Linked DNA regions of Anolis sagrei. The protein of the gene in region 1 interacts with the protein of each later gene in a biochemical or structural test. Links are inferred from orthologs where the notes say so. Each region holds a gene or a part of one and is shown in the gene's direction. Other genes may lie near its edges.

Region 1 (7,396 bases):
GTCCTCCTTTTCTGAATCAATTTGCACCTGCACCTGGCTAGTTTCGGTATCAACAATCTCATTTCTTGCTGTGGGAAACTGAACTTGCATCCCCTGTTCCTCATTGTCTATAACAGGGGCATTTTGGACCAGATTGTGAACTTGAATCCCATCATCCTCATCAGAGATACTCTGTGATTCCAGCTGACCATCAGAGGCACTCTGTGGTTCCAGCTCAGTCACAATAGGCATGGTGTTTCGATCAGAAAAAAGAGGAAGTTTATAAACAAAGAAACGCTCTTCAACAAGGAGATGGAGTGACAGCACTCCCTTGTGGCCGGAAATGAGCACAGCCTCCAAAGATGCCAAAAGATGGGAAAGCATGTGCGTATATACATACACACACTCCTCTATCTATTGTCCGTTTTGTCATTGTATAATCGGCACTGAATATTTGCTGTATATGTGTTCTGTGAACCACTCTGAGTCCCCTTTGGGGTGAGAAGGGCGGAATATAAAAACCATAAATTAAAATAAAATAGAAATAAACACTGATCACTGGCGATGAGTCCTGGGTTTAGGGGTATGAGCCAGAAACCAAATTGCAGTCATCACAATGGATGCATCCAACATCCTCAAAGCCAAAAAGAAAAAGGCAAGTCCAAAAAAAAGTCATGCTGACGGTCTACTTTGACTCCAGTGTTGTGGTTCATCACAAGTATGTAACACATGGTACTACCATCAACAAGGAGTACTACCAAGTGGTTCTATGTTGGCTTTGTAAACCTGTGAGACGCAAATGACAGGACCTGTAGGCAGCGGGCAATTGGCAGCTCCATCATAAAAATGCACCTTCCCATTCTTCAAATTTGATATAGAGTTTCCTGGGCAAACACAGCACACCTGTGCTTCGTCTGAGTCCCTACTTTCCCAACATGATTCCATGTGACTTCTGCGAGTGTCTCATGGCCATTACACCATTACAAAAGATGGTGAATGAAGTCTGCTTATGGTGGCCCTATGTCTACACTGTAGAACGAATGCACATCAACACCATTTTAACAGCCATGTCTCAATGCTGTGGAATAAGAGAAGTTATCATTTTATAAGGTCTTCAGCCTCTTCTGTCAAAGAGTGTTGGTGCTTGACCAAATTACAACTCCTAGGATTCCATAGCATTGAGCCATGGCAGATAAAGTGGTGTTCATTCTACAGTGTAGACACACTCATAGTCATAGTGCTGCCATAAACTGAAGGAAAAAACAAGGTAACGACTCAATAGTGGGGAAATAAACTACTACATGCACCCCTCCCAGTTTAGAAAGGGAGAGTATGGAAGGCGTGCCCTAATTTAATCCAGTTTGAGGTCCTTTCCAATCCACTCTATAAGATCCTACATTATCTGCTTTGAACTGGGATATATGGCAGTGGTGACTCAGATAACCCAGTTCAAAGCAGATATGTTGGGATTTTCAGCCTTGATATTCTGGGTTATATGGCTGTGTGGAAGGGCCCTCCGTTTAAAATTCCTGCTTAGTGTACCCAATCCTCCTAAAAATGATTCCCCCCCCCTTAGTTCTGGTTTGAATTACAATCCTGATCTATTTATATGTGTGGCAAGCATCCAGAGAATGTTATGTAATTACTTTCCTCTTGGATAAATGAAAGTGTCCTTAGTTTCTATTTCTTCAAGCCCAAGCACAGTAAAAGGAGAAGGAAACTCCTTGCATCTCCAGTCAATAATCCAGAAGGAAAGAAAACACCCTTCTGCACTATGTGTGCAAACACAACTCAGTCATTAACTTTAACATGGCTGTAACATTGGACACATATCCTTGGGAGTGAGTACGCTGTGTCCTATTCACAGGGGACGCTGTGGTTTTTAGTTCTAAATATGTTTTTATGGTTTTTAACCATTGTTGGAATACTGCCATATAATCCAGTTCATAGCAGATAATCCGGATTTTATCTGGTAGTGTAGAAGAGGCCCCATATAATCCAGTTTAAAGCAGATAATGTGGATTATATGCTTTGATGATCTGGATTATATGGCAGGGTAGAAGGGGCCAGAGGCAATGTAGAAGGTGTCCTCATTGCCATATAATTCAGTTCAATGTGGATTTTATACAGCTGTGTGGAAGGTGCCTGAGAGCCCTTCCAAACAGGCCCTATATCCCAGGAACTGATATGCCGGATGCATTTTCATTCACTGGACCAAATTTGGTCCAAATACCCAATATGTCCAAATTTGAATACTGGTGGAGTTGGGGGGAGGAACTGATTTGTCATTTGGGAGTTGTAGTTACTGGGATTTAGAGTTCACCTACAATCAAAGAGCATTCTGAATTCCACCAACAATGGAATTGAACCAAACTTGGCACACAGAACTCCCATGACTAAGAGAAAATACTGGAAGGGTTTGGTGGGCATTGACCTTGAGTTTTGGAGTTGTAGTTCACCTACATCCAGAGAGCACTGTGGACTCAAACAATGATGGATCTGGACCAACTTGGCACGAATACTTAATATGCCAAAAAGTGAACACTGGTGGAGGTTTGGGGAAAAACAGACCTACCAATTCATCACACTAGAGAATGAATCCACATTAAATCCGGCTTCTGCCTCCTGCAGAATTCTGGGGTTTGTAGTTTAGTGAGGCTGTCAAAGGCTCCTCCCTAAACTACAAACCCCAGAATTCTGCAGAAAGCAACAACCAGATTTAAGGTGGATTTATACTGTAGTGTGATGAGGCCCCCTGACATTTGGGAGTTGTAGTTGCTGGGATTTATGGTTCACCTACCGTCCAAGAGCATTCTGAACCCTACCAATGATAGAATTGGGCCAAACTTCCCACAGAGAACTCCCATGACCAACAGAAAATACTGGAAGGGCCTAGTGGGTATTGACCTTGAGTTTGGGAGTTGTAGTTCAGCTACATCCAGAGAGCACTGTAGACACAAACAATGATGGATCTGGACCAAACTTGGCAGGGATACAGAGGTGGCCGTAGGTAATTTTCAATGGTAAGCAAACAGTATTTTGGTGCCCCCTCCCCAAACCAAACACTGATTATATATATATATAAATGGATATGGGCATGGACAAATTTTGTCCAAAACACATGGAGGGCCGAAGTTGGCCCATGCCATATATATATATATATATATATATACACGCACATACATACACACACACACACACACACACACACGGATACGCAATATGCCCAAATGTAAACACAAGTGGAGTTTGGGGAAAACAGACCTTGACATTTGGGAGTTGTAGTTGCTGGGATTGATAGTTCACCTACAATCAAAGAGCATTCTGAAGTCCGCCAACGATGGAGTTGAAACAAACTTGGGACACAGAACTGTCATGGCCAACAGAAAATACTGGAAGGGTTTTGGTGGGCATTGACCTTGAGCTTTTGGAGTTGTAGTTCACCTACATCCAGAGAGCACTGTGGAATGAAACAATGATGGATCTGGACAGGCCCGTAGCCAGGATTTCGATTCGGGGGGGGGGGGGGGGGGGGGGCTGAGTTTTTTTCAGGGGGGGTTCGGGGGGGCTGAGTTTCGGGGGGGGGGGCTGAGTCTGAGTGAAAGTGGGTCTACCCTAGCAAACCTTTTGTATCATTGCCCCAGTACCCCCATGCATATGGGATATATTGAGTATGGTGATCAGATCATGATATGAATAACGTAACAGTTTAAATAATGCACCAGTAAGGCCTTTTCGCGAACCGCCATGAGAATTTCGGGGGGGGGGGGTTTAAGCCCCTCAAGCTCCCCCCCCTCCCCCCCGCTACATGCCTGGATCTGGACCAAACTTGGCAGAAATACTCAATATGCCGAAAAGCCAACACTGGTGGAGTTTGGGGAAAATAGACCTTGACATTTGGGAGTTGTAGTTTGTCTGGTTCACCTACCGACAAAGAGTATTCTGAACTCCACCTACGATCGAATTGGGCCAAACTTCCCACACCGAATCCCTATGACCAACAGAAAAAAACGTTTTTTTCTGATGGTCTTTGGCGATCCCCCTGACACTCTCCTTGCGACCCCTCGGTTGAGAAACGCTGCTGTAGAATGAATGCAACTTGATTCTGCTTGAATTGCATAGCTGGCTACTCTGAGTCCGTGGGCACCCAAGTTTTGCACAGGCTTTCGCTTGGTCCAGAGGGCTCCCCAAAGTGCAACTCCCGGGATTCCCCGGCCTGGAGATAGATCTAGCAGTTGAAGTGCTGCCAAACCTTTTCCTCCTCGACTCTCCGCCTGCTTTCGGTTTCTCTGCCTTGGGTTTCGTTTCCAGCCCGGGCTCCGCCTCTCTTCCCAGCCGGTCGGCTTCTGGAGAGGGAAAGGGAAGCCGGCGGAGGAGGAGGAGGAGGAGGAGGAGGCTGCGCCCCGGGACCCTTGCCCCCAGCCTGGGGGCCCCCTGCCTTGCTTCCTCTATAAGAGTGCTTGGGAGGCAGGGAAGAGAGCCTCGCCTTCGCCATGAGTGCCGAGGAGAAGGAGAACTTGCTCCGCTTCGGGCATTACATCCAGAAGACCCTCAACCCCGTCTACATCCTCTGCTACATGAAGGACTGGCTCTCCGATGGTCAGCATCTCCCTCTCCCTCCTCTCTCCCTTCTGCTCCCAGTGTGTGCCTGCACTTACTTATTATTATGGGTGTGCACAAGGGAGTGTATATAGGCGCGCCCCCCCCACACACACATCGCTGGGTATATCGATATAGAAGGATGTGTGTATGTATTTGTGAGTATGTTTGCATGTATATGTATATGCATGTATATGTGTATCAATATATGTGCACATAAGTGTCCACAGATGTGTGTAAGTATGCAACTCTGCCCAGGGACTGAAGACCATGTCATCATGTTGTGTATACATTTTTGCATTATGTGTATATATGTATGGGTAGGTAATGGTGCTCCATGCAGTCATGCTGGCCACATGACCTTGGAGGTGTCTATGGACAACACTGGCTCTTTGGCTTAGAAATGGAGATGAGCAGGGCCGTAGCCAGAAAATTTTTTCGGGAGGGGTTGAAATTTTCGGGGGGGGGGGGTGAAACCTGCCTCCTAGCTCACGCTGAAGCAAAGAGCACAGCAGGGGGCAGAGCAGCCTTCAATAGCCTGCCCCTCCGCCCCTGTCAACCACCTCCACCAAGTCTGGCCTCCTTAATGAGAGCATTCAACACACACACACCCAACTTGGTTGCTTCGCTACATCGGCTATTGCTGCAAGTAATGACAGTGTGAATAAATTGTCAATATTTGCCTGAGATAGTGCTTTAAGAACGGAAAACGGAACGTTGGTGGACAGGAAAAGAGATTTAAAGATGGGCTGAAAGCCAACCTTAAAAACTCTGGCATAGACACTGAGAACTGGGAAGCCCTGGCCCTTGAGCGCTCCAGCTGGAGGACAGCTGTGACCAGCAGTGCTGCAGAATTCGAGGAGGCACGAGTGGAGGGTGAAAGAGAGAAACGTGCCAGGAGGAAGGCGCGTCAAGCCAACCCCGACCGGGAACGCCTTCCACCTGGAAACCAATGCCCTCACTGCGGAAGAAGATGCAGAGCAAGAATAGGGCTCCACAGCCACATACGGACCCACAAGGAAATCCATAATGGAAGACCATCTTACTCGTCCAACGAGGGATCGCCTAAGTAAGTAAGTAAGAGATAGTGCTTGCAGTTCTGGAAGGACTCTTAATTTTTTGCATCTCATAGACTTAGCATGGGGATTTGGTTAACCAGTTAAAATTCATGAGTAAACCAGGTTTTTTAAAAAATCTGAAACATTTGGGGGGGGGGGGGGTTGAACCCCTAACCCCCCCCCTCGCTACAGGCCTGGAGATGAGCACCAACCCCCAGAGTTGGACACGACTGGACTTAATGTCAGGAGACAGCCTTTACCTTTTACCTATGTATGGGTATATATGTATGTATATGTGTGAATGTATGTGTATATGTTTGTACCTACATGCGCCCTCTATGTATGTACATGTGTGTGTCCATGTGTTCATCTGTATACGTGTATGTTGATTGAAGTTGTGGTAGGGATTGAAGACCATGTGATCATGCTGTGTATACGTTTTTCATATATGTGTATATATGTATGGGCATATATGTATGTATATTTATGTATGTATGTGCATGTTTTTGTGTATATGTGTGCCCTATATGTATGTACATGTGTGTGTGCATGTGTCCATCTGTATATGTGTGCTGTTTAACTATGTTGATTGTGGTTGTGGGAGGAACTGAAGACCATGTGATCATGTTGTGTATACATTTTTGCATATATGTGTATATATATGTATGGGTACATACAGGCCCATAGCCAGGATTTCGTTTCAGGGGGGGGGGGGCTGAATTTTTTTCAGGGGGGGGTTCGGGGGGGGCTGAGTTTCGGGGGGGGGGCTGAGTCTGAGTGAAAGAGGGTCTAGCCTAGCAAACCTTTTGTATTATTACCCCAATACCCCCATGCATATGGGATATATTGAGCATGGTGATCAGATCATGATATGAATAAACATAACAGTTTAAATAATGCACCAGTAAGGCCTTTTCGCGAACCACCATGAGAATTGGGGGGGGGGGGGGAGGAGCTGAAGCCCCTCAAGCCCCCCCCCCCGGCTACATGCCTGGGTACATATGTATGTATATGTTTATGTATGTGTATATATGTGGATGTATGTGCATACATGTGTGGCACTTTCAAACCAGGAACAGATGTTTTTCTAAATTTTGTTACATAGTGTTATAGTTGTCTCTTCACATTTGTGGGTTTCATATCTGTGAATTTGATGATTATTCACAGATTTCATTGAAATTGTTCTCTCTAGGAATCTCTAGGTTCAAAAAGTAAATCAATTTGTGTATATTTAGGGGGAGCAAGTGTGATACTTACTTGGATGTAAGTGCCATTGAATATGCTGTGACTGAATTACCATCCCTTCTCCACCCCACATGCAGCCAGCAGATTGTAACTTCTGCAAAATGCTAACACCATTTGTCAAAAACTGGGAATAGAAATGGGTTTCTGTGAGTTTTCCAGGCTGCATGGCCTTGTTTCAGAAGAAATCTCTCCTGACATTTTGCCCACATCTATGGCAGGCATTCTCAGAGGTTGGGAGGTCTGTTGGAAACCAGGCAACTAAGGTTTATATATCTGTGGCATGTCCAGGGTGGGAGAAAGAACTCTTGTCTGCTTGAGGCAAGTGTGAATGTTGCAATGGGCCACCTTGATTAGTGTTGAATGGCTGCTTCTTGCCTGGGAAAATCCTTTGTTGGAAGGTGTTAGTTGGCCCTGATTGTTTCATGTCAGGAGATATTTTCACCTCATCAGAAGTGACCTGAAGATGGGACCGAGGGTTAGTCTGTAATGCCTTTCATGTTCCTTGATCCGTGTTT
Region 2 (7,696 bases), on another chromosome or scaffold:
GGAAACCAGTCGTCATTTAACACAGGCTAAATTATCATCATCATCATCATCATCATCATCATTTTATTTCTTACCTGCCTCTCCTCGTGGTTCTAGGTGGGTTACGGCATAGTTAAGCATTGTAAAGGTTCTATAAATACACATATCAAAATGTATGTCTATAAAAGATGCATATCAAAACATATTTGTATAAAATGCATATTAAAATACAGAGAACAGATTAAAGCATTTTTCTCTTTTGGTACAGTATCACACTGCAGGCTCACGTTCAACTTATGATCAACAACAATTCCATAGTAGAGTTTCACCAACAAACAACCCCTTGATGTAGCCATGGCAATCAGTGCCATATTAGTGCTATAATTGCGAAAGTACTACAAAAAATACTGCAAACATCAGTTCATGCTACTGGTTGACTGCTCTGTAGAGTGCAGATTTCTACAGGAAGCACTTGCTTGCTCTTACTATGAAGTATTTCCAAGTTATTATTTTCCTACTTTGTCTTTATGCATAATTCATTTTGGACAGGAGGGCTTATGTCAAAGCCAGTCTATCACACTAGAACATAAAGAATAGGCAAAGAGTATAGCATCACACTGAAATCCTGTGGCTGCCTCCTGCAGAATTCTGGGTATAATTCAGCTGTACACCTAATATTAGAAAAGACCATGTTTCCATTCAGGTGTTATGGCTGAACAAGTGTAGGAAGCAAAGTGGCCTTGCTCCCAATATGCTATGATAGCCTTCATTCCCTAAACCCTCAGCAATCCCATGCTTACTGAGGTCATCAGGGGCCTTTCTACATCCAGGAATTCTTGTAAATTACGTAGCGTTACTGGCACATTAACATTTTTATTTGTCTTCAATAAACATTAGTCCTTTGAGGACTTTGTGTTCAAACAAATATAAATCCTTGGTTGACATCCCACACAACATTTGGAAGGCCTTGGGGGGAAGAGTTTGTTTAGGAAACTCCATCCCTCTTGTGCTGGCGTACCCTAAACTGGCAACCTGAACAGAGTTGTGCTTCCACCTGTGTGACTCATACAAACAGTTCCCTGAAACCCACTGAAACATCAGGCTCACAGCTTGGATGCACTACTAGACTTGAGCCCTGATGTCCAGGGTTTCATTTTTAAGACTAGCACATCAGTTGCATCTGTTCCAGGAAAAGTCAGTTTTGATTATATATCTTTTAGTTTACTATAACACAGCTTCACTGGCCACTGGCTTGTTTCCAGGCACATTTTAAACAGCTGGTTATAAAGACTTAAATGGTATCTGATAAATTTTTCCTTCCTTCTACAAATCTTCAATCCATCGCAGACCTGTCTGGTAAGGACACAGGAGGAGAGTGGGTGGGGGCTCTCACACTGTGCAATTTCCCCTCCATAGGAAATTAGACTGGCCAACCACTTTACTCTTCTTTCACTGGCAGGCATATAATGCATCAACACTGTAGAATGAATGCATCTTGAGACCCATGGCTCAGTGCTATGAAATAATGGGAACTGTAGCTTTATAATTTTAGTCTTCTCTGCCAAAACGTGCAAGTGACTCACCAAACTATAACTCACAGGATTCTATAGCATTGAGCCATGTCTTATAAAGTGGTGTCAAGCTGCATTCATTCTATAATGTAGATGCTCCCAAATACTTTTATATCCATGGAGAGTATGGAGAGTGTTGTATTTTATTATATTGTGGGAGATGTGCTTTGATTTTTTTTCTCCTCAGGATTTTAGATTTACCTTTTTAAATCTTTTTGTAAGCCAACTATGAAACACAGTTGCTGTGCATCTTCATGATGTTTTCACCTTATGGTGAACCTAAGGTGACCCTTTCTCGGAGTTTTCTTGGCAAGATTTACTCAGAAGGGGGGATTGTCTTTGTCTTCATCTGAGGCTAAGGGAATGTAACTTCCTCAGAGGCAGAATTCCATAGGAGTGAATTTCCCTCCCTAGGGATAGATCTCTCTCCCTTCCTATTGTCTCTCTTTGCTCTTTAGTGAGTGGTGAAAACTTTAGCTTTCAAACTATTTTAAAACTTCATAGAAGTCCAGCCACCTTTTGTACTAGTGCAGGTAGCCCCCGAGTTACAAACATCCAAGTTAAATTATTCATAGTTAAGAATAGCGGTGAGACAACAACACCTAGGAAGGGAAATTCACTCCTAAAAGAGTTATCCTGGGAGGGGGGAGGTGTCCCCGCTGAAACTTTAGCACCAATCCGTTTCCACAAGCCATTTTTTTTAAAATCCAATTCTCACAGGGACAAAAAGTGAGGTGAAATCTTCTGAACAGGGGCGCAGACAGCAAAACAGACACCTCAGGGGTGTTAACCCTTCCCTATGATATCCAAAGCTTGTGTGTGTCAGAACAGATAATATTTTAAGTGTAACTCCATCCATATATATTGAATGATTTAAAAATTACTTGTTCCAATTTACATACAAATCCAATTTAAACAAACCTTCAGAACCTATCTTGATCGTATCTTATAGCAACCCTTTTCTGTCATCAGCAGCCTTGGTCTGGTTTTGCAGATTCAGGGCCTTGGGTTCATTGATTGAATCAATCCATCTGGAATGTGGTATTTTTCTTTTCATACTGCATTTCCCCCTGGCTTTGCTTCTTTTAAAGAAGGATTTTTGCCTTCCACTTTCCCAAGCCTAATTGTCTTCTGAAATGAATCATCTAGTGAAGCACGGTTTAGTCATCTTGGCTTCTAAAGTGAATTCTGACCTATTTATTTGTCTTTTTAGCAATCCATGGAATCCTCATAACTCTTTTCAAGCATCATTATCTCAAATGAGTTATTTTCTTCCTATCAACTTTCTTCGTTATTCAGCTTTCACAACCATATGTAGAAATATGACAACATGAGCCACTTTAATTTAGTATTCAATGACAGATCTTTTCACTTCGAGATCCTGTCTGGTTCCTTCCAGGTCTTTAGGTGCCTCTAGTCTGTGGAATGAATGCTATAATTAACTGCCCTAGTTCCAGGCCATGGAGTTGTAATTTTTCGAGGTCTTTAGCTCCTCTGTAAAAAAAAAAAAAAAAAAAAGTGCTGGTATTTCACCAAACTTCAAATCCCAGGAATTGGGTCAACTGTGTTGGCAGTTGACCCAACCCAACTGCCATGGGTCAATGGAATCCATAACATTGACCCATGGCGGTTGTATTGTCAAAGAACATAATTTCTACAGTGTACTGTAGCTGCTCCCTTAATGTTCTTCTGGTTTCTTCACTATGGCCTCCACTTTGATTAATGTGTGAGCTAAGGAAACATTTAAGTGAATTCATTTTAAAAATTTATTTATTACTTCATGTATAAATCGTTTTTCTCACCCTTGGAGGGACTCAAAGTGGTTTCCAACATATTCACGGCAAAATTCAATGCCTTACAAAACATGAAAACCTGACATAAAACAACAGTAACATAAAACTATAAATTAAATCATAAAACGTTACTACATTTAAACATTAAAACGAGGAATTAAAAATATATTAATATAAACATTAAAATCACATGATCCAAAAGCATGGTCCCGGCCGTTCCAGTATCAAATAACAATTGCACATAATCTGTGTTCGTTTCTTGTCCTGCTTACTGCCCAAATGCTTGGTTCCACAGCCATGTTTTTGCTTTTTTTTTCCCCCTGAAGGACAAGAGCGAGGGTGATCTACATTAAAGTGATCTAAATCATCACAAAACGTTACAAAAACAAAATAGTTTCTCTCCCCCCCCCCCCCAAAATGCCATGTATGTTTACTCAGAAGTTAGCTCCACATTGAACAGTACAACTTAGAATGCCCTGACACTGCAGAAACAGTGCACTTTTGGTGTTATGGAATCCTGGGAGTTGCGATTTTACAAGTTCTGTAGCTTTTTGTCAGGTGGTACAAGTGTTTAACCAAAGTACAAATCCCAGGCTTTGATGCCATTGAGCCAAGGAAGTTTAAAAGGGCAATGCTATAGAATTGCATGAGCCCCTGGTGATGCAGCAGATTAAACCACTGAGCTGCTGAACTTGCTGACCAAAAGGTTGCCAGTTCAAATCTGGGGAGCAGGGTGAGCTCCCACTGTTAGGCCCAGCTTCTGCCAACCTAGCAGTTTGAAAACATGCAAATGTGAGTTGGCAGGAAGGTAATTGCGCTCCATGCCGGCCACATAACCTTGGAGGTGTCTAAGGACAACGCCGGCTCTTCAGCTTAGAAATGGAGATTAGCACCAGCCCCCAGAGTCGCACACAACTAGACTTAATTCAATGGGAAACCTTTATCTTTACCTTTGGAATCACAAAAGGCCAAAGACCTTGTGAAACTACCACTTCTGGAACTTCCATGCTCTGAGCCGTGGGAGTTAAAAGTGGTGTTAAACTGCATTCATTCTACAGTGTAGAATACATGGCTAATAACTACTGCACACAAAACACACACTGCTGGTCTATCTGGAGACCAACCCCTTTGGCAACCAAGAAGCCCCCCCCCTGTGGGCGGGGCATTAGCTGGCACCGCCCCCTTTTAATGGGCGGCAGCGGTCATTGGTTGGCCGGGGACCAATGGCAGGCTCCTGCGGGGATTCGACCCTGTGGCCCCGCCCCGAGCGCCGAGGGGGTCTCCAGCGCAGCCCAGAAAGAGAGGCAGAGAGAACTAAAGAGGCTCCCTCTCGCTAAGTTCCTGCGGGCTCCCAAGTATCGCGAGGTCTCCCCGGAGAGAAAGAAAGGGAGGATTCAGACGATGGGCTCCGCGTTGAGCAGCGACGGGAGGGAAGCCACTACTTCGTCGGACTCCGGAGGCCTCCCAGCCGGGATCCCGCCGCTCCCCCTGCAGTTGGGGCGAGCGGGAGAAGAAAAAGCCCAACAACAACAACAGATCCCTTCTTTCGACTGCTCCATCTGCTTGGAAGTGCTCAACCAGCCCGTCAGGACGCAGTGCGGACACGTGTAAGTGCCACAGTTTCCCTTCACTCATCCTTGGGTTGCATCCACACCGTGGAATTAATGCGCTTTGATACCGCTTTCATTGCCATGGCGTGGGTTCTTTGTTGTGGTTGCTTGTACTAACTCCTCGGAAGTTCCATTGTGGGAATCGACTTTGGGCGCATCTACATTGCAGACTTAATGCAGTTTGATACTACTTTAATGCAGTTACTTAATGGAAAGTCTACATCCTGAGATGCATGAAAGCCTGTGCTACCAATCTCTCTCTTTCTCTCTCTTTCTCTCTCTTTCTCTCTCTCTACTGGATGCATCTATACTGTAGATTTGATGCAGTTTGACACCACTTGAATTCAATTGCTTAATGGAAAGTCTACTTCCTGAGATGCATGAGCTTGTGCTATCTGTGTGTGTGTGTGTGTGTGTGTTTGTGTGTGTGTGTGTGTGTGTGTGTGTGTACTGGGTGCATCTATACTGTAGATTTAATTCAGTTTGACACCATTTTAATGCAATTGCTTAAAGGAAAGTCTACTTCCTGAGATGCATGAAAGCCTGTGCTACCTCCCTCTTCCCCCCCCCCCCCATATATAAACACACACACACACACTGGGTGCATCTATACTGTAGATTTGATGCAGTTTGACACCACTTGAATGCAATTGCTTAGTGAAAAGTCTACTTCCTGAGATGCATGAAAGCCTATGCTACCAATCCCTCTCTCTCCTGGGTGCATCTATACTGTAGATTTAATGTAGCTTGACACCACTTTAATGCAATTGCTTAAAGGAAAGTCTACTTCCTGAGATGCATGAAAGTCTTTGCTACCAATCTCAATCTCTCTCTCTCTCCTCTCTCTCTATACCAGGTGCATCTATACTGTAGATTTGGTGTAGTTTGACACTACTTCAATGCAATTGCTTAAATGAAAGCCTATTTCCTGAGATGCACAAAAGCCTTAGCTACCAATCTCTCTCTCTCTCTCTGTACTGGGTGCATCTATCCTGTAGATTTGATGCAGTTTGACACCACTTTAATTGCTTAAAGGAAAGTCTACTTCCTCAGATGCATGAAAGCCTTCACTATCCACCCCCCCCCTCTACTGGGTGCATCTATACTGTTGATTTGATGCAGTTTGATACCACTTTAATGCAGTTTCTTAAAGGAAAGACCACTTCCTGAGATGCATAAAAGCCTGTGCTACCAATCTCTTTCTGTGTCTCTGTCTGTCTGTCTCTGTCTATCTATCTATCTATCTATCTATCTATCTATATATACGGGGTCATCTATACTGTAGATTTAATGCAGTTTGAGACCACTTTAATTGCCATGGCTCAGTACTATGATTTTTGGGATTTGTAGCGAGGAGGCTACAGGCTTTGTAAAGCCACAACTTCCATTGTTGCGTAGTTTGAGCCATGGCAGTTAAAGTGGTGTGAAACTGCATTAATCCTACAGTGTAGATCAGGGGTCCTCAAACTTTTTAAACAGAGGGCCAGGTCACAGTCCTTCAACCTGTTGGAGGGCCGGATTATAATTTGAAAAAAACATGGATTCCTATGCACATTGCACATATCTTATTTGTAGTGCAAAAATACTTTAAAATGAGATAGGGTTGTTGTTGTTGTTGTTGTTGTTGTTGTTGTTGTTGTTGTTGTTGTTGTGTGCTTTCAAGTAGTTTCAGACTTAGGTTGACCCTGAGCAAGGGCCGGGTAAATGCCCTTGGAGGGCCGCATCCGGCCCCCGGGCCTTAGTTTGAGGACCCCTGGTGTAGATGCAGCATTAAGACCTCATCACACTAGAGAATGAATTAACTTTAAATCCAATCTCTACCTTTTGCAGAATTCTAGGGTTTGTAGTTTAGGGAGAAGCCTTTAACAGGATCACTAAACTTAAATCCGGTTTCTGCCTCCTGCAGAATTCTGGGGTTTGTAGTTTAGGGAGGCTTTTAAAGGCTCCTCCCTAAACTACAGACCCCAGAATTCTGCAGGAGGCAGAATGTGGATTCATTCTCTAGTTTGATGAAGTCACATTGTTCACAGTGAAACTGACTTCCCGAGTAAACAAGCACAGGAGTGAATTAAAAAACAGGGTTTGAAAAACAAAGGAGCCATGTTTTCCTTTTCTTTCTTTTTTCATGTTTAAGCTGGCTAAGGAGACGTTTTGTTTTGGCTTTGCTGGCTTGCTTGTTGGAAGGATTGGTGTTAAAGAAGAACATAGTTTGTGTTGCAATGCTTTATTGTCCGACAGCCTAGGAAAAAGTTGGAGAGGTTCCTTCGAAAACTAATTAAAAGTACTTCTATAGGGGTGGATCTACACCAGGCATGGGCAAACTTGGGCCCCCGCAGGTGTTTTGGACTCCAACTCCCACAATTCCTAAGCGGCTGAGGGGGGAAAGGAAGGGGCCTGAGACTGTTAGGAATTGTGGGAGTTGGAGTCCAAAACACCTGCGGGGGCCCAAGTTTGCCCATGCCTGCTCTACACTACAATTAATGCAGTTTTAAACCCTGGGTCAGCCCTCTTTGGCAGGGAAGGCCAAAAACCTTGCAAAAATTAAAAGTCCTATGATTCCTTGGCATTGATCCATAGCAATAAAAGAGGTGCCAAATTGCATTAATTCTACAATGTAGATTTACCTCTAGTTAATATGCCATAACATCTACTTTGATTTTTTAAAAAGTCACTATAAATACACTTTAAATAATTTATCTGTATCTGGATGTATGATTCATATGTATGGTGAATAGATGCATTC

The links.
Region 2: of the proteins of RIGI (region 1) and RNF125, one has a biochemical effect on the other in vitro, tested with the Homo sapiens proteins (3 studies listed by BioGRID and IntAct, with this or other methods). The link is inferred for Anolis sagrei from reciprocal best matches to the Homo sapiens genes RIGI and RNF125.

Annotation. Positions count from the first base shown.
Region 1 is NC_090022.1:205,270,152-205,277,547, reverse strand, and holds the start of RIGI (antiviral innate immune response receptor RIG-I), read left to right. Parts: upstream 1-4,322; 5' UTR 4,323-4,472; coding exon 4,473-4,578; exon of another isoform or gene 4,579-4,619; intron 4,620-7,396.
Region 2 is NC_090024.1:55,235,938-55,243,633, reverse strand, and holds the start of RNF125 (E3 ubiquitin-protein ligase RNF125), read left to right. Parts: upstream 1-4,592; 5' UTR 4,593-4,744; coding exon 4,745-4,950; intron 4,951-7,696. UniProt on the Homo sapiens protein: E3 ubiquitin-protein ligase that mediates ubiquitination and subsequent proteasomal degradation of target proteins, such as RIGI, MAVS/IPS1, IFIH1/MDA5, JAK1 and p53/TP53.